Linked DNA regions of Elephas maximus indicus. The protein of the gene in region 1 interacts with the protein of each later gene in a pairwise test. Links are inferred from orthologs where the notes say so. Each region holds a gene or a part of one and is shown in the gene's direction. Other genes may lie near its edges. The genes, in order: MIF4GD, EIF3G and ATP-dependent RNA helicase DDX19A.

Region 1 (6,922 bases):
CTGTTTGTATTATTTCTCTAGTGCAGCTGTAACAGAAATACCACAAGTGAATGGCTTAATCAAACGGAAGTTTATTCTCTCACAGCTTAGGAGGCTAGAAGTCTGAATTCAGGGTGCCAGCTTGAGGGGAAGGCTTTCTCTCTATATCAGTTTCTTGTCATCAGTCTAGGAGCTTGTGAGGGCAAGGACCCTGACCAAAGGACATGCTCCACTCTTGGTTTTTCTTGCTTGATGGTAATGAGGTCCTTCTCTGCTCGATTCTCTCTTTTGTATCTCAAGAGATTGACTCAAGATACAACCTAATCTTATAGATTGAGTCCTGCCTCATTAACATAACTGCCTCTAATCCTGTCTTATTAACATCATAGAGGTTAGGATTTACAACACATAGGATAATCACATCAGGTCACAAAATGGTGGACAACCACACAATACTGGGAATCATTGCCTAGAGCTAAGCTGATACACATTTTTGGGTGACACAATCCATAACACCATTGAATCACCTTTCTTTAGATTGGGCTTGAATATGGATCTCTTCCAGTCTGTTGGCCAGGTATCTGGTCTTCCAAATTTCTTGGCATAGACAAGTGAGCGTTTTCAGTGTTGCATCCATTTGTTGAAACATCTCAGTGGATATTCTGTCAATTCCTGGAGCCTTGTTTTTCGCCAGTGCCTTCAGTATCATTGATTCTTGATCATATGCTACCTCCTGAAATGGCTAACCATGGACCACTTCTTTTTGGTACAATGACTGTACATCTTCTTTTGATGCATTCTGCATCATTCAATATTTTGCCCATAGACTCTTTCATTATTGCAACTCAAGACTTGATTTTTTTCTTTAGTTCATTCAGCTTGAGAAATGCTGAGCATTTTCTTCCATTTTGGTTTTCTATCTCCAGGTCTTTGCACATTTCATTTTGATACTTTGTCTTCTCAAGCTGCCCTTTGAAATTTTTTGTTCAGCTCTTTTACGTGATCATTTCTTTTGTTTGCTTTAGCTACTCTACATTCAAGAGCAAGTTTCACAGTCTCTTCTGATATCCCTTTTGATCTTTTCTTTCTTTCCTGTCCTTTTCATGACCTTTTGCTTCTTGCGTAATGTCCTTGATGTCATCTGACAACTCATCTGGCCTATTAGTGTTCAATGCTTCAAATCTGTTCTTGAGATGGTCTCTAAATTCAGGTGGGATATACTCATAGTTAACTTTGACTCTCGTGGGCTTGTTCTAATTTTCTTCAACTTGAGCTTGCATATGGGCAATTGATGGTGTTCTGCAGTCATTCTTTGGCCTTGTTCTGACTGATGATATTGAGCTTCTCCATCGTCTTTCCACAGATGTAGTCAATTTGATTCCTGTGTATTCCATCCAGCAAGGTCCAAGTGTCTAGCCGCCATTTATGTTGTTGAAAAAAGGTATTTGCAATGAGTAAGTTGTTGGTCTTCCAAAACTCCATCATGCCCTCTACAGCGTCATTTCTGTCACTAAGGCCATATTTTCCAACTACCAAGCCTTCTTGTTTCCAACTTTTGTATTCCAATCACCAGTAATTATTGATGCATCTTGATTGCATGTTTAATCAATTTCAGACTGCAGAAGTTGGTAAAAATCTTAAATTTCTTCATCTTTGGAGTTCATGGTTGGTGAGTAAATTTGAGTAATAGTCTGTATTAACTGGTCTTCCTTGTTGGGTATGGATATCATCCTATCACTGACACCATTGTACTTCAGGATAGATCTTGAAATGGTCTTTTGACGATGAATGTGATGCCATTCCTTATCTTACCCCTCCGCTTTTCCACACAAATCACACCCCTTCTCACAGTGTGAGGGAAGGGACACTGCCCTCCCCAGCTCCATTCTTCTCCACAGCTGCAGCCCTCAGCAAGCTCTGCTTTAGTGCTGCAGGGAGATTGCCAGGTGAAGGTGGTAAGTTGGGGAAAGGGGGTGCCGATGGGGAGGAGGAGAGGAGAAAGGTGGCAGCCCTAGCCCCTGTCTACCTTGGTCTGCCCTCCTTTTACTGGGTGCTGGGCCAGCCCTCCGGGGCAAGTGGGAGTTCACAGCTGGCCCAGCTAGCATTGGGGTGCCCCTCCTTGGCTCAGAGCATGGCACTGTATGTAGACCCCAACTTTGTGACCCCAAAAGGCCACGAGTCTGAAGCAGCCCAGTGAAAGGGATGGCCGGAGGAAGGGGTTGGGCAGCCAGCCAGCCCTGAGAGGACCCATTTAGTGCCCAGGAGGGGTTGTCAGCAGCAGGAGCCCCAAGAGATGTTTATCTAGACACAGAGGAGACACTTCAGTTAGGGGTATGAGAGGAGAAGAAAATCCACAACACAACCACCACGTTTCCATCCTTGCTCACCAGCCCCCTTCCCTCCAGCCTGCTAGCTGGCTTCAACAGTGGAGCTAGGATGGAGGAGCAAGTGGACTCCTAACCAGGCCTTAACCCAGCCTGAGTGGGGAGCCTGCCCTCGCTCCGGGCTCTTGCTCCAGCCTTTGCCCTGACTAGTTGCTGAGGAAGACCCCTGCCAGGAGCAGGTGGAGGTGGGTGTCTGGCTCTGGTCCTGGGCCCCTTCTCATACTGTTATTGCCCCCTGGCCTGGTCTGGCGTTTGTGGTGTGCCTGGGTCCTGGACACAGACGTCTCCTCTGCCCTTGGCTTGCCTTGCCTTGGCTGCTGGAGGGGTGTTTAAGGCTTGGGCCTCTGACTGCAGGAGGCGGCTGCCTGCGTGTGTTTCTTATGAAATTCCAGAGTGAGTCTATTGCAGTAAAGTTTATTCTCAGTTTTTTTTATGCTGTAGATGAGAGTTCTCTGCCCCAGCCTTTTCCAAGTAACCGCTTTGGGGACTCTTTGTAAAAGGAGGGGAGAACTTTGGCAACAAGCAGCTGCCATGCACACCCCCTCTTGTCCAAGCCGACGGAGAAGGCAGTAGTTCTGCCATCCTCTGGGTGCCCACAACCTGAAGTCGACCTCCCTGGGCAGCCTGGGGAGGGGCGGGAGGACGGGGAACACAACACGGTGCAGTTCTTGGGCTGCGTGGTCAGCCAGCCTCTCAGCCCCAGTCAAGAAAGACCGAGTCAGGGGGCTTGCTCAACTTCCAGGTCGCTTCCAACACCCTGCCTGGCATACACTAACAATTGTGACCCATTTCTTGGACTGCCCACTTGATTTTAAACTTATTTTACCAGATTCCTTAGTACTTAGAGTAGAAGAGGGGGATAGTGGAATTTGATCCAGCCTCAACGGCCCCCTGCGTCTCCTCTGCCATGGGAGTAAGAGTGGGGACCCTGGCCTCTCACGTGTGATGATCCTGCCCCTCCAGCCTTCCAGCCCACCCTCCCCTCCACTCTGGCTGGACCGCGCCCTCTCCAGGCTTCTCCCACCCTGTGCGGCACGCCCGCGTCTCCTTTTTGACCCTATTAACCTGAACCCCGGCGTGGGGAACGGAGGGGTGCCCATGTTAAGCCCGAAGGTTTCAAGCAGGCCAGGAAGCAGGTGCAGCCCAGCGCCTACGAGCCGTTGTGGTCCCACGCGGGGACGGGGCTTAGTGGGTGAGGAGGGGACAGGGGCAGAGTGAGCTCATTCTGGGGCGGTGGCAGTGTCGCGACGTTGCGCGCAGCGTCCGAGTCAGCCCCACGCCCCGGAATCCGGCCCTCGGGGCGGGCCGGGCTGCGACAGACGCGTCCTCGGGGTTCCGGCAGGCGGTGCCGGCGTGGCTCCTCGGCCCCGCCCCTTGGGCCCGGCCCCTCCCAGGCTCCGCCCCTTCCCAGGCCCGCCGCACTAGGAAATGACCTAAGCGGCGGCGAGGCGCGCCGGCCGCACCGGCTGCGCCGCGTCCGCGGGCGCGCGCGCCGTGCCCGCCGAGCGGTTCCCGGGCACGCGGGCGCGGCGCCGCTCCGGCAGGTGGGTCCCGGTACTCGCGGCGCCGGGAAGGGCGTTCGGGGTTTGGGAAAGCGGCAGCTGTCTGGAGACCCCTAAGGCTCGCCTCCTCTGACCTGAGGGGAGAGCGACACCAACTCCGGGAGGGGACCCCACCCGGGCTCCCTCTCGGTGGGCACATCCCGCTCCCTTGCTTAAGGGGAAGGATTCAGAATGGAGCTCAGGAGTTAGGAGCCCTGGGTGGGTTGCGCCGGTTTAGCCAGTTCGTCCCTGGGGAGACTCTGGCCAGCCGTGGGAGCTCGGGCTCAGGGGCGGCAGAGAAGGCTCCTGCACCCACCTGAGGGCTGGAGGGATGGGTTTGGTGGACTGAAAAGGACTCACATGGAAGCCGAGGGAGGGTTGGGAAGAGGGGCTTGGAACCCTGCTGGAGCTGAGGGTCCGCAGCTTGGAGCCCCCAGCACCAACTCTTGCCCGAAATCGTGCTGTGCCAGCAGTTTCCAGGCCGGTTTACATAAGGCCAGGCAAGTCTGTTCAGAGGCGGGCAGAAGTCTCCGATACCCACCTAGCCACTCTCCCAGCTCAGCACACAGCCTCAACCTGCTGTCCTGTCAGCTGGGAATAAACCCTGCCTTCCTGCTGGGACTGTAGCGTAGCCTCATTCGCCCTTGTCTTTAATCGCTCAAACCTGGAGTTTCCTAAACTGAGCAGCAGGTGTCTGGCTGGTGTCCTGTCTCCACCAAAATGCCAAGCTTGGTGGCTCTCAGCCAGCCTCCAAGTGCCATGGCTGGCTCAGAAGCACCTGTCCCAATCCCTGGCCAGCCCCACCAGGGTCTGCAGCACTGGAAACACACCCCACACCTGAGTCATCTCCCTTCACTTTGCCTTCTCCCCAGGTGCCCTCAGTAGTCCAATGCCAGTGAAGAGCTGCTGGGCCGGATGGTCATGGGGGAGCCCAGTAGAGAGGAGTATAAAATCCAGTCTTTTGATGCAGAGACCCAGCAGCTGCTGAAGACAGCACTCAAAGGTGAAGAGGGGAGCCCCGTCTGAGAAGGGGCCAGGCGGGAGCAGGACCAGAGGCCTGAGCTGAGGGCACGCAGGGAACGGGATTGCCCAGCCTGTTCCCTTTGTCTGCTGAGAGCGGGAGTTAGCAACGTAACTCCTGAACTGGAGGACAGGCTCCATGTAGACCGGTATTTGGGAGTGTGAGTCACAGACTCCCCTTTCAGACTGCAAAGCCTTTTTTAAAAAGTACCCATGGAAGGGGTGTAGGGCCCAGAGAACACATAGTTTCTGCATTTTAAGCCCTTACATTTGTGGTCCTGGTTTCTGCTTGGCTGCAGCCAGCTCTCTTTAATGTGCAGAGCTGCCTGCCTTGGGACAGAGGATGATGTATTCTGCTTGGCAGAGGAGACATAGTTAAACTCCTGTTAGACTCGGCTAACAATTAGCAATGCCCATCACGTGCCAAGCACTACGCAGCTGCTCTTAACAAGAATACTTCCTCCCATGGAATTGCTGTTAAGACATCGCTATTCAGTGTCCCTTGTAAAATGAACATGGAACGCCTTCCTCAGCCTAGTGTCAGGAAAAAATGTGGGTCCTGAAACACTAGTCTAGAAAAACCACATAACCCTTCCAGGTTTTTCTTTGGGCAACCAGGAAGCTCAAAGCTAGAGCCCAATTTCAGTATCTGCTTCTATGTATGCCTATTGTCCCCCTCTCTTTATGTTTTCAGATCTCTTTAAATTTAAGTATATGCAGGTAGTCCCCGACTTATGACATATTTGAGTTACAACTGACTGCGCCTACAACCATCCTTTTTTTTTTGTACATGTTATCTTTAGTAACATTTATTAGTGTTGCAGCATGTAATTTGCTGGTTACCATTCTCATGCCAACCCCCCAAAGACAAATAAAGATCAGATTATAAAGATACTGATAATAAAAGGCAATAATAATGAAAACAAAATGAGGTATTCGACTTACATCAGAACTGACTTATGGTGGAGTCGTTGGCTAGGAACCCCTGTCAGTGGGGAACACACACAATGGGTGTGCTCTATTGTAAGCTTCTCACGTCCTTTCTAGAAGGTGGAGGTGACTGTGATAAATAGGCGGAGGTCACTGAGTCGGACTCGACAGCACCCAACAAGGACAACCCTCCTCTCTCTGCCTCTAGATCCAGGTGCTGTGAACTTGGAGAAAGTGGCCAATGTGATTGTGGACCATTCCCTGCAGGACTGTGTGTTCAGCAAGGAAGCGGGACGCATGTGCTACGCCATCATCCAGGTTGGAGGGGTTGTAAAGGGGAGATGTTCTGGGGAAGGTGCTCCAGGAGTGGGCAGAAGCCTGGCCAGCAGCAGGGCAGAGACAGACTCAAAGATGGGGCAGGTGGGCCCTGAACCAAGGGTGCTTGGGTAGGGGCTGGGATGGCACCTCCCCCTGCTGCTCACCAGCCTTTCCATGGCTCACAGGCAGAGAGCAAGCAAGCAGGCCAGAGTGTCTTCCGACGTGGACTCCTCAACCGGCTGCAGCAGGAGTACCAGGCTCGGGAGCAGCTGCGAGCCCGCTCCCTGCAGGGCTGGGTCTGCTATGTCACCTTCATCTGCAACATCTTTGACTACCTGAGGGTGAGGCCCCAGTAGCCACCTTGGGTCACAGACAGCCCATCTCCCAAAGCCCAGGCTGGCCTGCTCCCCACTGCCACTCAGCCTGGTGCTCTGACCCCTCTCCCCCCTCAAGGTGAACAACATGCCCATGATGGCCCTGGTGAACCCCGTCTACGACTGCCTCTTCCGGCTGGCTCAGCCTGACAGCCTGAACAAAGAGGAGGAGGTGGGTGGCCAGGTACAGCTGAGGGCTGCAGAGTTGGGCAGTCTGGCACAGCTCAGAGAGCCAGCTCACTGTCCATGGAGGCTTTTGAGGGCACCACTTCCTGGGGCAGGTGCCTGCTGGGGGTATTCAAGGCCTGTCACAGTGCCAGGTGTGGAATTTATCCAGAACAGACAGCAACCAATGCTTCCAGCTCAGAGACTTCCT
Region 2 (8,089 bases), on another chromosome or scaffold:
TTAAAGATGATCTCAAAGCAATAGTTTCAGGGGTTCACCCAGCCTCAATGGCTCCAGAAAATCTAGATTCCATGAGAATTTTAAATTCTGTTATGCATTTCCCTCCCCCCTTTCAATCAGGATTCTTCTATAGAATCTTTGATCAAAATGTTCAGTAATGATAGCTGGGCACCATGAGCCATAGAGTTTCCAATTGCTGATTTTTCAGAAGTAGATTGCCAGACCTTTCTTCCAGGGTACCTCTGTGTGAATTCTAACCACCAACCTTTCAGTCAGCAGCTGAGTGCTTAATTGTTTGCACCACCCAGGAACTCCACAGAACACTACAAAAAAAAAAATCCAAACTAGTTGGGACTCCTTGGAACACTATTTAAAAAATTAAAAAATGTTGTTGTCGAGTCAATCCCAACTCACAGTGGCCCTATAGGACAGAGTAGAACTACCCCTAGGGTTTCCAAGGCTATAATCTTTATGGAAGCAGATTGCCACATCTTTCTCCCATGGAGCAGCTGGTTAGTTCAAACCACTGACCTTTTAGTTTGCAGCCGAGCGCTTAACTGTTGCCACCAGGGCTCCTTGAAATACTATACGAGGTTAAAATAAAATAGAAAAGTGGAAGTGCGTGCAAATGCAATAAAAAGAGAAAGCATATGCATGAGCGTGGCAAAGCCCAAATTCAGGGGGTGGTTACTTCTCGAGGGTGTTGTTGTTAGGTGCTGTGAGTCGCTTCCAACTCAGAGTGACCCTGTGTACAACAGAACAAAACACTGCCCAGTCCTGCACCACCCTCACAATCATTATGCTTGAGCCCATTGTTGCAGCCACTATGTCATTGAGGGTCTTCCTCCTTTTCCCTGACCCTCTACCTTACCAAGCATGATGCTCTTCTCCAGGGACTGGTCCCTCATCATAACATGTCCAAAGTACATGAGACAAAGTTTCATCACTCTTGCTTCTAAGGAGCATTCTGGCTATACTTCTTCCAAGACAGATTTGTTTACTCTTCTGGCAGTCTGTGGTATATTCAATATTCTTTGCCAACACCATAATTCAAATGCCTCAATTCTTCTTCAGTCTTCTTTATTCATTATCCAGCTTTTGCATGCATATGAGGCGACTGAAAGTACCATGGCTTGGGTCAGGCACACCTTAGTCCTCAAAGTGACATCTTTGCTTTTGAACACCTTACAGAGGTCTTTTGCAGCCCATTTATCCAGTGCAATACATCGTTTGATTTCTTGACTGCTGCTTCCATGGGCGTTGATTGCGGATCCAAGTAAAATGAAATCCTTAACAACTTCAATCTTCTCTCCATTTATCATGATGTTGCTTATTGGCCCAGTTGTGAAGATTTTTGTTTTATCTATGTTGAGGTGTAATCCATACTGAAGGCTCTAGTCTTTGACCTTCAAAGTAGTGCTTCAAGTCCTCTTTGCTTTCAGTGAGCAAGGTTGCTTCGTCTGCATATGGCAGGTTGTTAATGTAATCCTGATGCCCTGTTCTTCTTCAAATAGTCCAGCTTCTAGGATTATCTGCTCAGCATACAGACTGAATAGGCATGAGGAAAGGATACAGCCCTGACACACACCTTTCCCAATTTTAAAGCAAGCAGTATCCCTTTGTTCTGTTCGAACAATTGCTTGTTGGTCCACGTACAGGTTCCGCATGAGCACAATTAAAGCGTTTTAGAATTCCCAGTCTTAGCAATGTTATTCATTGGGAAGGTAACGTGAGGTAAATGTGACAATGGAGGGTGGCAGAAGGAGCTTCAACTGCACTTGTAATGTTTGATTCCTTTTATAGTGATTTGTTGCCTAATACTTTTCTGTATGCCTAAAATACTTAAAAAAAAAAATTAAGTCACAAAACACCCGGATAGCACCCATGTTCAGTGGCTAGCTACTTCTAGACAACTCTAGACCCGTTGCCATCGAGTCGATTCCAATTCATAATGATCCTATAGGACAAAGTAGAGCTGTCCCATAGGGTTTCCAAGGAGTGGCTGATGGATTAGAACTGTCAACCTTTTGGTTAGCAGCCAAGCTCTTAACCATTGTGCCACCAGGCAACTCTGTGTATCCACAGATGCACACAATTTTACCTCCAGGGGTGGTGCTTGTATGGATGGGCCAACATTTAACTAGTTCCTTATTAATGATGCTTGGAAAGTTTTCAATTTTCCAATCCTTTAAGCCACTCTGTGTTGAACATCCTCTTATGGGCAATTTAATGCACTGCGTGCATATTTCCTTAGGTCATCCCTGACCGGAGAATGCAAGATGTGGATACACAAAATATATAAAAAAATATATTACCTCATGTATATATTACATAAATATATATTAATATTAAAAAACCAAACCCGTTGCTGTTCAGTCAATTCTGACTCACAGCAATGCTACAGGACAGAGTAGAACTGCCCCATAGGGTTTCCAAGGAGCAACTGATGGATTTGAACTGCTGGCCTTTTGGTTAGCAGCCAAACACTTAACCACTGCACCACCAAGGCCCCACATATATATGTGTATGTGTGTATATATGTATATAAACTTGTTGCTGTTGAGTCAATTCCAACTCATAGTGACACCATGTAGACCCAGAGTAGAGCTTCTCTGCAGGATTTTTGTGGCTGTAATATTTATGAAAGTAGATCCCCAAGCCTTTCTTTCACAGCACCGCTGAGTGGTTTCGAACTGTCGAGTGCAAACCTTTCATGCCACTTTATATTAATATATATAATTAATATATACAAAAACAAGAGCATTGCCGTCGAGTCAATTCCAACTCATAGCGACCCTACAGGACAGAGCAGAACTGCCCCATAGGGTTTCCAAGGAGCAGATGGTGGATTCAAACCATCTGACCTTTAGGTTAGCAGCTGAGCCCTTAACCACTGTTCCACCAGGGCTCCATATTAATATATTAAGTATATAAAATAAATAATTTTACATTCATGTATATAATTATTTGTATTTAAACCAAAGCAGTATATACACATGGTAAAAAGTCTAAATACAGCAGAAAAGTGCAAAAGTAAGCTTTCCTCCCCTGCTGCCTTCCTCCAAAAGCATCCCTCAGCGACAGTTTCTGAAATTTCCTTCCAGAAAGTGGTTTGCATATACTTGCATATCTATGTCCTATTAAAGAATTATAGAAATTGGATCATGTAACATAAGCCATTCTACATCTTGTCCCCACCCTCCTTGTCTCAGAGATTTGTTTTTACACGAACACAAATGTATCTGCCTCTTTAAAGACTACCCAGCATTTCATAGATTATGGCTAGTGTATCACAATCTATTTAACCAGCCCCTATGGGCTTTTATGTTATGGGTGGACACATAGGCGTTTCCAGTTTTTGCCATCATGAACAATTCTGCACAGACATCTTGTTCGTGCATCTTCGCGTGCTTTTACGAAATTTACTCATGAGTTGAATTATTAACTGGCTGAAAGGAAAATGCATATGTGCCTTTTTAAGTTTTGAGAGATGTTGTCATGTGGATGGACAGATGTATGCACTCCAAAGAGCTTGCATATTTTCATCCCCACCGCCAATTGTGTGTGAGTGTCTGTTTCCTTTACCACCACTGCATAATATCGCATTTAAAAAGTTTTGCCCATCTCCTGCGTTGTTTGGATTTTGCATTTCTTGGAGTAAATTTGAGTAAGTTTCTACAAGTGTTTATTGGCCCTTTGTACAAACTTTATATCTTCATCCATATGGCCAGATCACCCTCCTGAAGGGCTGGACCCACACACCCCTCTTTCTTTGATTCACTTTCCCAGCCTCCTCCCTCCTCTTCTGATATTTTGTTTCCTCCCAATCCACCCTCCACAGGCTTCCAGCATAATCTTTCTCACAAGAAAATTTGTTCACATTGGGCTGGCACTCAGTTTGACTTCACCCATACCCCACAGCCCACAGGATAAAAAGCCCAAACTCCTTAGTTTGGGAAGGCCTTTAAGACTGGGTTTCCACCTGTCCCCCAATCCCTATTATAGAGCACTTACTATGTGCAGACACCTTGTGGGTGGGTGCAGGGAGCCAGAGGGGGACAAAGCAAGGAAACGTCTACTTTTTGTAGGTGAAATTCTAGAGCAGCATTTCTTGACCTTTTTTTCTTTATCATCCACTATGGAAAAAAGTTAAATTATTTTAAAATTTAATTAAAATCAATTACTTAAATCATTTCCAATTTAAATGACATTTAAGTTATCCCTAATGATAGAAATGAGGGATAAAATAGAAAGTCAGCAAAAAAAAAAAAAGGAAGCCCCTCAACGAGATGGATTGACACAGTGGCTGCAACAATGGGCTCAAGCTATTGTAAGGATGGCACAGGGTTTCTATAGGTCCGAACCTACTCAAGGGCACCTAACAACGATAGAAATTACTTAGGAATAAGATTTTGCCTGGTAGAGTTGGGTTTAAAACCCATTGCCATCGAGTCGATTCCGACTTATAGCGACCGTATATGGCCACAAACCATTTTGATTTCTAAGGCTTTTTACTCCTGAGTCAAATTTTCATCTCCTTGGGGGTGCTATTTCTTCGTTGAGAAGACACATTCTAGAGGGATAAGCAAGTAAATAAACTGATTATATCAGAGAGCTAAGACTGCTACACAGAAAATAAGGAAGAGTGGTTGAGGAAACCTAATCACCCCAGTTAGGAAAACCCTCCCCAGACAAGGAAGAACAGCGCAAGCAAAGGGAATGTCTAAGGCAAAGGCCCTCTCACCATTCTAAGCCTTGTTTTTTTTCAGCAACAAAATAGAAATGATAATTTCTTACTCACGGTGCTTGACCCACAGTAAACGTTAAATGAATGTTTTTTTTGTTGTTATTATTTAAATTTTTCATTGTATTAACAGGTAAATGAGATAAGCCCTGAGATGAGCCTTTGCCCCAGCCTGGCTCCTGCTAGGTACCACCGTCCAGGGGCTCATGCAGTCGGCGTCTCCGCCTCCTTCCGCAGGAGGCGCTGTGGGAGAAGCGGCAGGGTTGCTCTAGGCGGCGGAACCGGAAGTCTTGTTCTCCTTCCACTTCCGCTCTCTGGCCCGGGTTCGGACTGCGTGGATAAGGGTTTGAAATGCCGACCGGAGAGTTTGAGTGAGTCTGGGGCTCGCGGATGGGGACCAAGAGGGACAGCTTGGAGGTTCTGGGGAGTTTCATGGGGGTTGGATGCGCCGAGGCGTCGGGGACCGACATCGCCGACCCCACTCTTCCCCCGTAAACTTGTTCCCGCAGTTCGAAGCCCAGCTGGGCCGACCAGGTGGAAGAGGAGGGAGAGGACGGTGAGTACTGTTACCCGGCTCGCCCTGTTACCGCTGCCAGCCCCCAGCCCGATCACTACCTTCTGCTCCAGTCCTCTCCCCTCCGCCCCCGTGTCACCGCGGTCGGACCCCACGTTCCGCATCACGACCCACCCCTACTCCCGCGCCGTCCTGATCGAGGCCAGCCTCCTGCCACCTTCTGGTGTTCACTGTGGCTAGTCCCCCGTCCTCCCATGCCACTGCCCAAGCGTCTTCACAGCTGCTCCCATGCTCCACACCCAGTCCCCTGAGCCTTTGTACTAGCTCGTGGGGGTCTTTCTGGCCTGCCTCCACCTTCATGCCAGGGTCGTAGGGCTTAGTTGCTGGACTCTACTCCGGCCCAGGGATCTTTACCTCCTGCCACTTCCCGAGGTTAACACAACTGGCACCTGCACGACTGCCCTAAGGTACTTCTTGCCCAGTTTTCTGCTCTCCTCAGCTCCTGCTATGGGTATCATCCCAAAGGCCCTTCCATCTCATCTTGGGGCTTCGACCCTTCTAACTGATCCCTCCTCCCTACACACTCTCACAGACAAATGCGTCACCAGCGAGCTCCTCAAGGGGATCCCTCTGGCCACTGGTGACACCAGCCCAGAGCCTGAGCTTCTGCCAGGAGGTGAGTGATGACCTTCACTCTGTTACTGGACTGGATCCCTTCAGAACTCCCTGCCCATCCTGGTCTCCGTTTCCCAGGGCTTGGCTCCCCTCACCACTCCTCCTCTCTCCCAGCTCCACTGCCGCCTCCTAAGGAGGTCATTAATGGAAACATCAAGACAGTGACTGAGTACAAGATAGATGAGGATGGCAAGAAGTTGAAGGTGAGGCTGGGGGAGGGGTTGGGTGCCCTAGTGGTTGGGGACATGGACTGGGATAAGGTGGTGTATGGGGACAGGGTTGGTGAGGAAGATCCTCTGGCCCCAGGAGCCTTGGGACACAAGAAATCCAGCCCTCTACCTTGCTGTCCACAGATTGTACGCACCTTCAGGATTGAGACCCGGAAGGCCTCAAAGGCTGTCGCGAGGAGGAAGGTGAGACCCTCCTCCCCGTCTTTGGAGCTACGTCAGGCCTGATCCAGAGGGACTGGGAGACCTTTTTCCCAGTGCCTTTGCTTCCTGTGGTGGGGTTTAATTGTTTTTACTGAAGCAGAACTGAGGCCTAGGAGTGTTTGCACTCACTTGGGGCCTTGAAAAGTCCAGGGAGCAGGAGGGGGTGTGGTTAGATTTTTATTCCTTTTGGCTTGTCTACCTGGAGGAAAAGAGCCAAGCCATTCTCTGAGGTGGTCAAAGCATCTCCTGTTTACTAGACAAAGTGCTTCTGGAAGAAGTGATAACAATAAATACGATTTTCTGAGCACTTTCTCTGTGTTAGACTCCATGCCAAGTGCTTTGCAGGGAGCATTTTTTTCTTTTTCTTTTTTTATTGTGCTTCAGGTAAAATTTTACAGCTCAAGATAGTTTTTCATTCAGAAAGAATTTTTTTTTTTTTTAATTTTAGGTGAAGGTTTACAGACCTAACTAGTTTTTCATTAAATAGTACACATATTGTTTTATGACATTAGTTAACAATGTCATGATATGTCAACACTCTCCCTTCTCAACCTTAGGTTCCCTATTACCAGCTTTCCTGTCCCCTCCTGTCTTCTAGTCCTTGCCCCTGGGCTGTTGTGCCCCTTTAGTCTTGTTTTGTTTTATGGGCCTGCCTCATCTTTGGCTGAAGGGGTGAACCTTGGAAATGACTTCATTACTGAGCTAAAAAGGTATCTGGGGGCCATACTCTCAGAGTTTCTTCAGCCTGTATCAGGCCAGTAAGTCTGGCCTTTTTTATGAGTTAGAATTTTGTTCTACATTTTTCTCCAGCTCTCTCCAGCACCCTCTATTGTGATCCCTGTCAGAGCAATCAGTGATGGTAGCTGGACACCATCTAGTTGTACTGGACTCAGTCTAGTGGAGGCTGTGGTAGATGTGGTCCATTAGTCCTTTGGACTAATTTTTCCCTTGTGTCTTTAGTTTTCTTCATTCTTCCGGGGAGTATTTTTTTCTTTGGTCCCCATAGCAACCATTTGTGGTCCCCAATTTATAGGGCAGGAAGCTAAGGCTCAGGTTAACTAGCTCAAGGCCCCTCGTGGCCTGGGTGACACCTGGCCCCTTCCCCCCTGCTCTGAACCATTTTTGAGTGCTGCCGCTCCCCAGCATGAGCGAGTTTGAAGTCCACCAGCCCACCCAGGCCCCAGCAGGACTTGTCTGCTCTGCAGCTCTTTCCCAGTCGGAGCTTCTGTTTTTATCGTCTGGAACATGGGGCTGAGAGCTGCGCCTGCCTCCTGGAGCTAGTGTGATGCCAGGGGCTGGCATGCACTCAGGAAATAGGAACTGTTGTTATTGCCATGGGGAGGGCACTTGGGGGGATGGAGAATGGGGGGTTCAAGGCCCAGATTCCCTGGGGGTAGGTGTTCTAGGGCTGGCTGCCAGTGTAGGACCGCTGACCTGTCTCCCATCCTGCCCTGAGCCCAGAACTGGAAGAAGTTTGGGAACTCAGAGTTTGACCCACCAGGGCCCAATGTGGCTACCACCACAGTCAGCGACGACGTCTCCATGACGTTCATCACCAGCAAAGAGGTAAGTGGGCAACAGAATGGGGCTGGTGCACAGAGTGGTGGTGGCAGGGGTATGACAGCCACCCTCTGAGTTGTCTCCCTCTACCCCTGCCAGGACCTGAACTGCCAGGAGGAGGAGGACCCAATGAACAAGCTAAAGGGCCAGAAGATCGTGTCCTGC
Region 3 (7,374 bases), on another chromosome or scaffold:
ATTATGAGATCAGCAAATTCTGTACACGACGCAGTTCAATGTACCATGCTCACTCAACTGGGGTCTCAGGCTGCTTTCTGGCCCAAAGGGTCAGTTGGATCCAGCCTGGAGAAGGGCTGTCACCTTCTGATGATTGGCTGGGTGGCTGGCCTGGAGCAGTGGCTGGGAGGGAGGCCCAAGGCCACGAGAGACCAGGAGAGCACTGTGAGGGTTCTTTCTCAAGAGTTCGTCTTCTAGTGGGGAAAGTCAAAAAGTAAACTGGAAGGAGGCAAGTAAGATGATTTTTGATGGTATCCAGATGTTCACCGAACTGTCACCAATTAATAGGGAAGGGGTGGGGGCCTTAGGTAATTTATATGCTCTTGATGCACTATTATACCACAATTAAATGAGTAAATTATGACATAAAAAATACATATTCATATAATAAAAAGATGAAAATTGAAATTGTATGTATACTTTGTTTAGGATTATGTACAATACCCGTGCTATTGATGCATATGAACAAAGAATAGAAGGACCCAGAAGAAAAGGAAACACTAGTGTGGGTGTGAGTGTGGGTGTGTGTTCACTGGAGTGGTGAAATTGTTAGGTGCTATTGAGTCATTCTGGACTCACAGCAACCCCATGGTAGAATAACTGGGGGTTTAAGGGTTTTGTCTCTTTCCACTGATGTAGTTGATTTGATTCCTGTGTATTCCATCCAGTGAGGTTCACATGTATAGTCACCATTTATGTCGTTGAAAAAAGGTAATTACAATGAAGAAACTGATGGTCTTGCAAAATTCTGTCATGCGATCTCTGGTAGCGTTTCTATCATCAAGGCCATATTTTCCAGCTACTGATCTTCATTTCCAACTTTGCTTTCCAATCACCAGTAATTATCAAAGCATTTTGATTGCACGTTTGGTCAATTTCAGACTGCAGAAGTTGGTAAAAATCTTCAATTTCTTCATCTTTGGCATTAGTGGTTGGTGTGTAAATTTGAATAATAGCCACAATTAGTAACTGGTCTTACTTGTAGGCGTGTGGATATTACTCCTATCACTGACAGCATTGAACTTCAGGATAGATATTGAAACGTTCTTTTTGACGAGGATTGTGATGCCATTCCTCTAAAATTTGTCATTCCTGGCATAGCAGACCATATGACTGATTCAAAATGGCCAATACCAGTCCATTTCAGCTCACTAATGCCTAGGATATTGATCTTTATGCATTCCATTTCATTTTTGACAACTTCTAATTTTCTTAGATTCGTATGTCATACATTCCACATTCTGACTATTGATGGATGTTTGCAGCTGTTTCTTCTCATTTTGAGTCATGCCACCTCAGCAAATGAAGGTCCCAAAAACTTTACTCCATCCACGTCATCAAGGTCAACTCTAAGGAGGCTGCTCTCCCCCAGTCGTCTTCTGAGTGACTTCTAAGCTGAGAAGATCATATTCTGGCACTATATCACACAATATTCTGCTGCTATACATAAGGTTTTCACTGGCCAATTTTTTCAGAACTGTCAAGTCTTTCTTTCTAGTCTGTCTTAGTCTAGAGGCTGCACTGAAACCTGTCCACCACTGGTGACTCTGCTGGTATTTGAAATACTGGTGGCATAGCTTCCAGCATCACAGCACAACAAACTAAGCCACCACAGTACAACAAACTGACAGAACAAGGCCAGGGGCTGACTTCAGAACAGACCATCAATTGCTCATATGCAAGTTCAAGTTAAACTCAAGAAAATTAAAACAAGTCCACCAGAATCAAAATAGGGCCTTGAGTATATCCCCCCTGAATTTAGAGACTATCTCAAGAATAGATTTGTTGCACACAACACTAATGACGGAAGACCAGACGAGTTGTGGAATAACATCAAGAACATCATACATGAAGAATGCAAGAGGTCGTTAAAAAGACAGGAAAGAAAGAAAACAGAATGGATATCAGAAGAGACTCTGAAACTTGCTCTTGAACCTCAAGTAGCTAAAGCGAACAAAAGAAATGATGAAGAGCTGAACAGGAGATTTGAAAAGGCAGCTTGAGAAGACAAAGTATTATAATGAAATGTGCAAAAACCTAAAGTTAGAAAACCAAAAGGAAACAACATGCTCGGCATTTCTCAAGGAGAACTGAAGAAAAAATTCCAGCCTCGACTTACAGTATTACAGAATTGTATGGACAAAATACTGAATGATGCAGGAAGCATCAAAAGAAGACAGAAGGAATACAGACTCACTGTACCAAAAAGAACTGGTGGATGTTCAACCATTCAGGAGGTAGCATATGACCAAGAACTCATGGTATGGAAGGAAGAAGTCCAAGCTGCACTCAAGGCACTGGCAAAAAAGAAGGCTCCAGGAATTGATGGAATACCAAATGAGATGTTTCAACAAACTGATGCAGTGCTGGGAGTGCTCACTCATCTATGCCAAGAAATTTGGAAGGCAGCTACCTGGCCAGCCAACTGGAAGAGATCCATATTTGTGTCCTTTCCAAAGAAAGGCAATCCAATAGATGGCAGAAATTATCAAACAATATCATACACAAGTAAAATTTTGCTGAAGATAATTCAAAAGCAGTTGCAGTATGTTGACAGAGAACTGCCAGAAATTCCAGCCAGATTCAGAAGGGGATGTGGAACCATGGGTATTATTGTTGATATCAGATGGATCTTGGCTGAAAGCAGAGAATACCAGAAAAACCTTTACCTGTGTTTTATTGACTATGCAAAGGCATTTGACTGTGTGGATCATAACAAATTCTGGATAACATTATGAAGAATGCGAATTCCAGAACACTTAATTGTGCTCATGATGAATCTGTACATAAACCAAGAGGCAGTAGTTCGACAAGAACAAGAGGATACTGCGTGGTTTAAAATCAAGAAAAGTGTGTGTTAGGGTTGTATCCTTTCATCACACTTATTCAATCTGTATCCTAAGCAACTAATCCAAGAAGCTGGACTATATGAAGAAGAACACAGCATATGGTTTGGGGTAAGACTCATTAACAACCTTCCATATGCAGATGATACAATCTTGCTTGCTGCAGGTGAAGAGGACTTGAAGCACTTACTGATGAAAATCAAAGACTACAGTCTTCAGTATGGATTACACCTCAACATAAAACAAAAATCCTCACAACTGGACCAATAAGCAACAGAGAAAAGACTGTGGTTGTCAAGTTTTCCTTTTACTTGGATCCACAATCAACACCCATGGAAGCAGCAGTCAAGAAATCAAAGGAGACATTGCACTGGGCAAATCTGTGAAAGACTTTTAAAGTGTTGAAAAGCAAAGATGTCACTTTGGGGACTAACGTTCATCTGACTCAAGCCATGGTATTTTCAGTCACCTTATATGCATGCGAAAGCCAGACAATGAATAAGGTAGACCGAAGAAGAACTGACGCCTTTGAATTATGGTGTTGGTGAAGAATACTGAAAATACTACGGACTGCCAGAAGAAGGAACGCATCTGTCTTGGAGAAGGTACAGCCAGAATACTCCCTAGAAACGAGGATGGGAAGACTTCGTCTCACGTATTTTCGACATGCCCTGGAGAAGGACATCATACTTGGTAGAGGATCAGCGAAAGAGAGGAAGACCTTCAACAAGAGGGACTGAAACAGTGGCTGCATGATGGGCTCTAGCATAGCGTAGCAAAGTGTTTTATTACATGGGGTCGCTGACTCCACAAGAGGGTTTTGTTTTCTTAGACATTACCGTTCTTGACAACAGGAACTGGCATCATACAGTATTCTTCACGGGCCTTTTCTTTGTACGGAGCCACTCAACGGCAACTGGTTTGGGTTTTTTGCTGCGACACTCAGGCTGCTAACCAAAAGGTCGGGGCTCCAATCCATCAGCAGCTACTAGGAAACCATATTGGGGCAGTTCTATTCTGTCCTATAGGGTCGCTATAAGTCGGAACGGACTTGAAGGCAACGGTTTTTCTTTATACAGGCTTTCTGGTTCACAGAAGCGCACGTACATATTTAATATGACACGCGGTAAGTTACAAATAAAACGAGTTATTTCAGTGTGAAGTAAGGTAGTGAAGTGAGGGCAAAACAGTTTTACTTTGAAGAACTTACGGATTTAAGGCACTACGAGGCAGGAGCAGGGAACTACAAATACAACGCGGGAGGTTTAACCACGCCGGAATAGGGCTGAAACACAGGGCCGGCGCGACGTGGCGCCGAATGGTGACGTTTTCGCACCTGACGGATCGGACGTCATTCTCGCGCGCCTCCGCTTCCGGCCCGTGTGAGTGACGTTTTCGTGCCGGCGACAGAGTCTGGCCGGTGTTGTCTCGTGGTCTTCAGTATCTTTCCTCGTGTCCACCTCCTGCCCCCGGCACCATGGCCACCGACTCCTGGGCTCTGGCGGTTGACGAGCAAGAAGCAGCTGTCAAGTCGGTCAGTGGATTCTGCTCAAAGGGGCAAGAACGTAGCAGAGGCCCAGGTGGACCTGGGCTCGAGGCCCAGAGAGAGGGAGTGGTAGAGCAGGCCTTTGGCCAGCACGACCTGCACTGCTGCCGTGGGGAATAACTGCGCCCTAAATTTGCTTCTGGAAACCCTGGTGGCTTAGTGGTTAAGAGCTACTTCTGGTAATAAAAAGGTCGGCAGTTCGAATCCTCCTGGCGCTCCTTGGAAACTCTACGGGGCAGTTCTACTCTGTCTTATAGGGTCACTGAGTCGAGTCAACTCGATGGCAGTGGGTTTGGTTTTAATTTGCCTCTGGGGCTAAAAAGACCAACATTGAGCTTTTGATCATCATCTAATCCAGTTAAAGACTTGTTGTTGTTAGATGCCATCTATTCGTAGCGACCCCATGTGACAGAATAGAACTGCCCCATAGGATTTTCTTGGCTATAATTTTTATGGGAGCAGATAACCCGGTCTTTTCCCCGCGGACCTCCAACCTTCAGGTTAACAGCGCAGCGCAAATATCTCTTCACTGTATATTATTACCATTCCTGTGTTGCACCTGTTTCCCAGTGGCGTTTGTAAACAAAGGCAAATGTAGATGGTCATTCTGTTTCATTGAAATAACACATTTACAGGTTTAGATTTAATGTCTCAGTGTACTGTAAAGGTAAGATAAAGTTTAGATTTGTTTAGAGACAATGGACTGTTGGTAGTGACAATATAGACTATTTACTGAAGACTTTTCCTGTAGTCTGAAGCCTTCTGTAGCTTTTTTTTTTTTTAATCTACTCAGTGTATTTTTTCATTGTACTTCAGATGAAGGTTTACAAAGCAAATTAGTTTCTTTAAACAGTTAATACACATTGTTTTGTGACATTGGTTGCCAACTCCACTACATGTCAACACTCTCCCCTTCTCAACCTTGGGTTTCCCATTACTAGCTTTCCTGTTCCCTCTTGCTTTCTTGTCCTTGCCCCTGGGCTGGTATGCCCATCTAGTCTGATTTTGTTTTATTAGCTGTCTGATCTTTGGCTGAATTCTATAACTTTTTAATGCCTAAATTACGTTTCTTCTCCAGCTATGCTTTGTTGATTTGGGAGTACTATCAGTTCATCAGCAGATAAATAAAATGGGTTAAACCTGGTGGAGTATAGGAAGAAGCTTTATAGTCTTAGCCAGGAAGACTACAATGTGGGAAGTGCTATGAAAGAAGTAAGAACAACATCTTAAATGACCTCTGAAGAGGGAGAGGACATTTATGAGTGGGAAAATGCTGGAAATTTCTTGTGAAGAAACTTATATTTGAGCTGGATTTTAGAGATCGAGTCATATTTAAGATAGAGATGACGGCGAAAGACATTTTAGGAGGAGAAAATGTGCCAAAGTGCTGGACTTGCCTAGAGAACAGGAATCAAATAATTTTGGCTGCAACTTAAGGTGATTGGTTTGGAGTGGGGCAGTATAGAAAATATCGCAGGGAGTATACTTTAGACCTTGACTAAAAACTGAAGGAGAGGGGGCTTTATTTAGTAGGCTTGTGGTCCAGGGCTTGATTTGAGTATTCCTCAGAACCCGACAACATACCTTTACAATACCATCTGAATATCACACTTTACTCTTCCAATATAGAAAAATAGTTCTCATGACAGTGGAGAGTTGTTTGCAAATTTATGAATTATTGCTCTGCTTGCAACTTAGCAAGTTTGTATTGACTAGGAGTACGTGGCCAGGAGTAAAGGAGAAATCATTTTGTTCAAGCTTCTGTAAGATTTTTAAATCAGGAACTTGGGTTTGTCAATACTTTCATTATAAAAAATAAGTTTCTCCCTAATTTATAATCTAGGAGGTTGATAAGACAAGAAAGAGGGCTGTAATTTATTTGCTGAGTGTTGCCTGAATACAGCATGGGTTTTAGGGGTTAAAAAAAAAAAACCAAACTTATGAGATATTTACATCGTATCATTCTTTACCTAGAAACAAGCTGTGTTTGTGCCTTTGAAAGTTTATATTTGATATATGTTTATTGAAGGTTAGATGTCCTGGGAAGAGCATGAGTTGGGAGAAGAGCAGAGGTTTGAGATTGCTGACATACTTTTTCTTCCTACTATTACATTTAGTTTGCCCTTCCCCCTGTTTTTTAGGCTGTAGAAGAGATTTGAAATGATGTTTACACCCAGTCAATTCTACATCAAGCAAAACAAACCTGGCCCCTGAAGATGGGTGTTGAAGTAGCTCCTGCTAGGCTTTTACTAGAGACCTCCCCTGTGCCCAAAAGTCTTCCTTTAACTGGGTCACTTGCTTAACTCTACTTCCTTTCATTCCCATTCAGCTGAGCAGCTTGCAGATCAAGGAAGAGAAAATCAAACCAGATACCAATGGTGAGTGAGTAGTAACTACAAGCCAGGCACAAGCTACACATGTGCTTCTGTTTTGCACTCATTGCTGCAGTGTGAATAGGAGTTTTCACTTAGCCCAACATTTGGTAAATGATTAGAGAGCACTGGATTAGAGAGCCAGTAAATTAGGCTTAATTACTGAAAGGGATGTGTGATGTTTTCCAGATTTGATCCAGCCTCTCATTCCTTAAATCCAACAATCAGCACTGGAGTATACTGCTACTCTTTACTGGAGATGGTTTCTTTGGAAAATTATTTTTGTTTAATTTTTTGAAAGATAATTTGGGTCCAAAACTCAAAGTATAAAAAGTTGAAAGCCCTTCTTCCCATTGTGGTCCCTCATTTACCGAGGTCCCACTCCCCACCCCATCCCATAAGTAATCACTGTTATTTGTCTTATTAATATTCTTTTGAAGTTTCTTTAAGCAAAAGAAATATAAATATAGATTTATATTCCCATTTTCTTTCTCACAATTAGCAAACTGTTTGCTAATATAATGCTGTATTTTAAATAAGGATAAGTTAGAGGTGACATTCTGATCATTGT

What was found.
Region 2: the proteins of MIF4GD (region 1) and EIF3G interact in binary tests that used the Homo sapiens proteins (3 or more experiments, as listed by UniProt). The link is inferred for Elephas maximus indicus from reciprocal best matches to the Homo sapiens genes MIF4GD and EIF3G.
Region 3: the proteins of MIF4GD (region 1) and ATP-dependent RNA helicase DDX19A interact in binary tests that used the Homo sapiens proteins (3 or more experiments, as listed by UniProt). The two-hybrid records come from large-scale screens. The link is inferred for Elephas maximus indicus from reciprocal best matches to the Homo sapiens genes MIF4GD and DDX19A.

What each region holds. Positions count from the first base shown.
Region 1 is NC_064837.1:65,598,744-65,605,665, reverse strand, and holds the start of MIF4GD (MIF4G domain-containing protein), read left to right. Parts: upstream 1-3,824; 5' UTR 3,825-3,907; intron 3,908-4,776; 5' UTR 4,777-4,819; coding exon 4,820-4,907; intron 4,908-6,062; coding exon 6,063-6,172; intron 6,173-6,357; coding exon 6,358-6,513; intron 6,514-6,625; coding exon 6,626-6,718; intron 6,719-6,922. UniProt on the Homo sapiens protein: Functions in replication-dependent translation of histone mRNAs which differ from other eukaryotic mRNAs in that they do not end with a poly-A tail but a stem-loop. May participate in circularizing those mRNAs specifically enhancing their translation.
Region 2 is NC_064821.1:28,259,003-28,267,091, reverse strand, and holds the start of EIF3G (eukaryotic translation initiation factor 3 subunit G), read left to right. Parts: upstream 1-5,021; 5' UTR 5,022-5,095; coding exon 5,096-5,115; intron 5,116-5,253; coding exon 5,254-5,300; intron 5,301-5,850; coding exon 5,851-5,934; intron 5,935-6,011; coding exon 6,012-6,136; intron 6,137-6,286; coding exon 6,287-6,346; intron 6,347-7,825; coding exon 7,826-7,930; intron 7,931-8,023; coding exon 8,024-8,089. UniProt on the Homo sapiens protein: RNA-binding component of the eukaryotic translation initiation factor 3 (eIF-3) complex, which is required for several steps in the initiation of protein synthesis.
Region 3 is NC_064839.1:40,154,157-40,161,530, reverse strand, and holds the start of ATP-dependent RNA helicase DDX19A, read left to right. Parts: upstream 1-4,277; 5' UTR 4,278-4,362; coding exon 4,363-4,419; intron 4,420-6,760; coding exon 6,761-6,809; intron 6,810-7,374. UniProt on the Homo sapiens protein: ATP-dependent RNA helicase involved in mRNA export from the nucleus.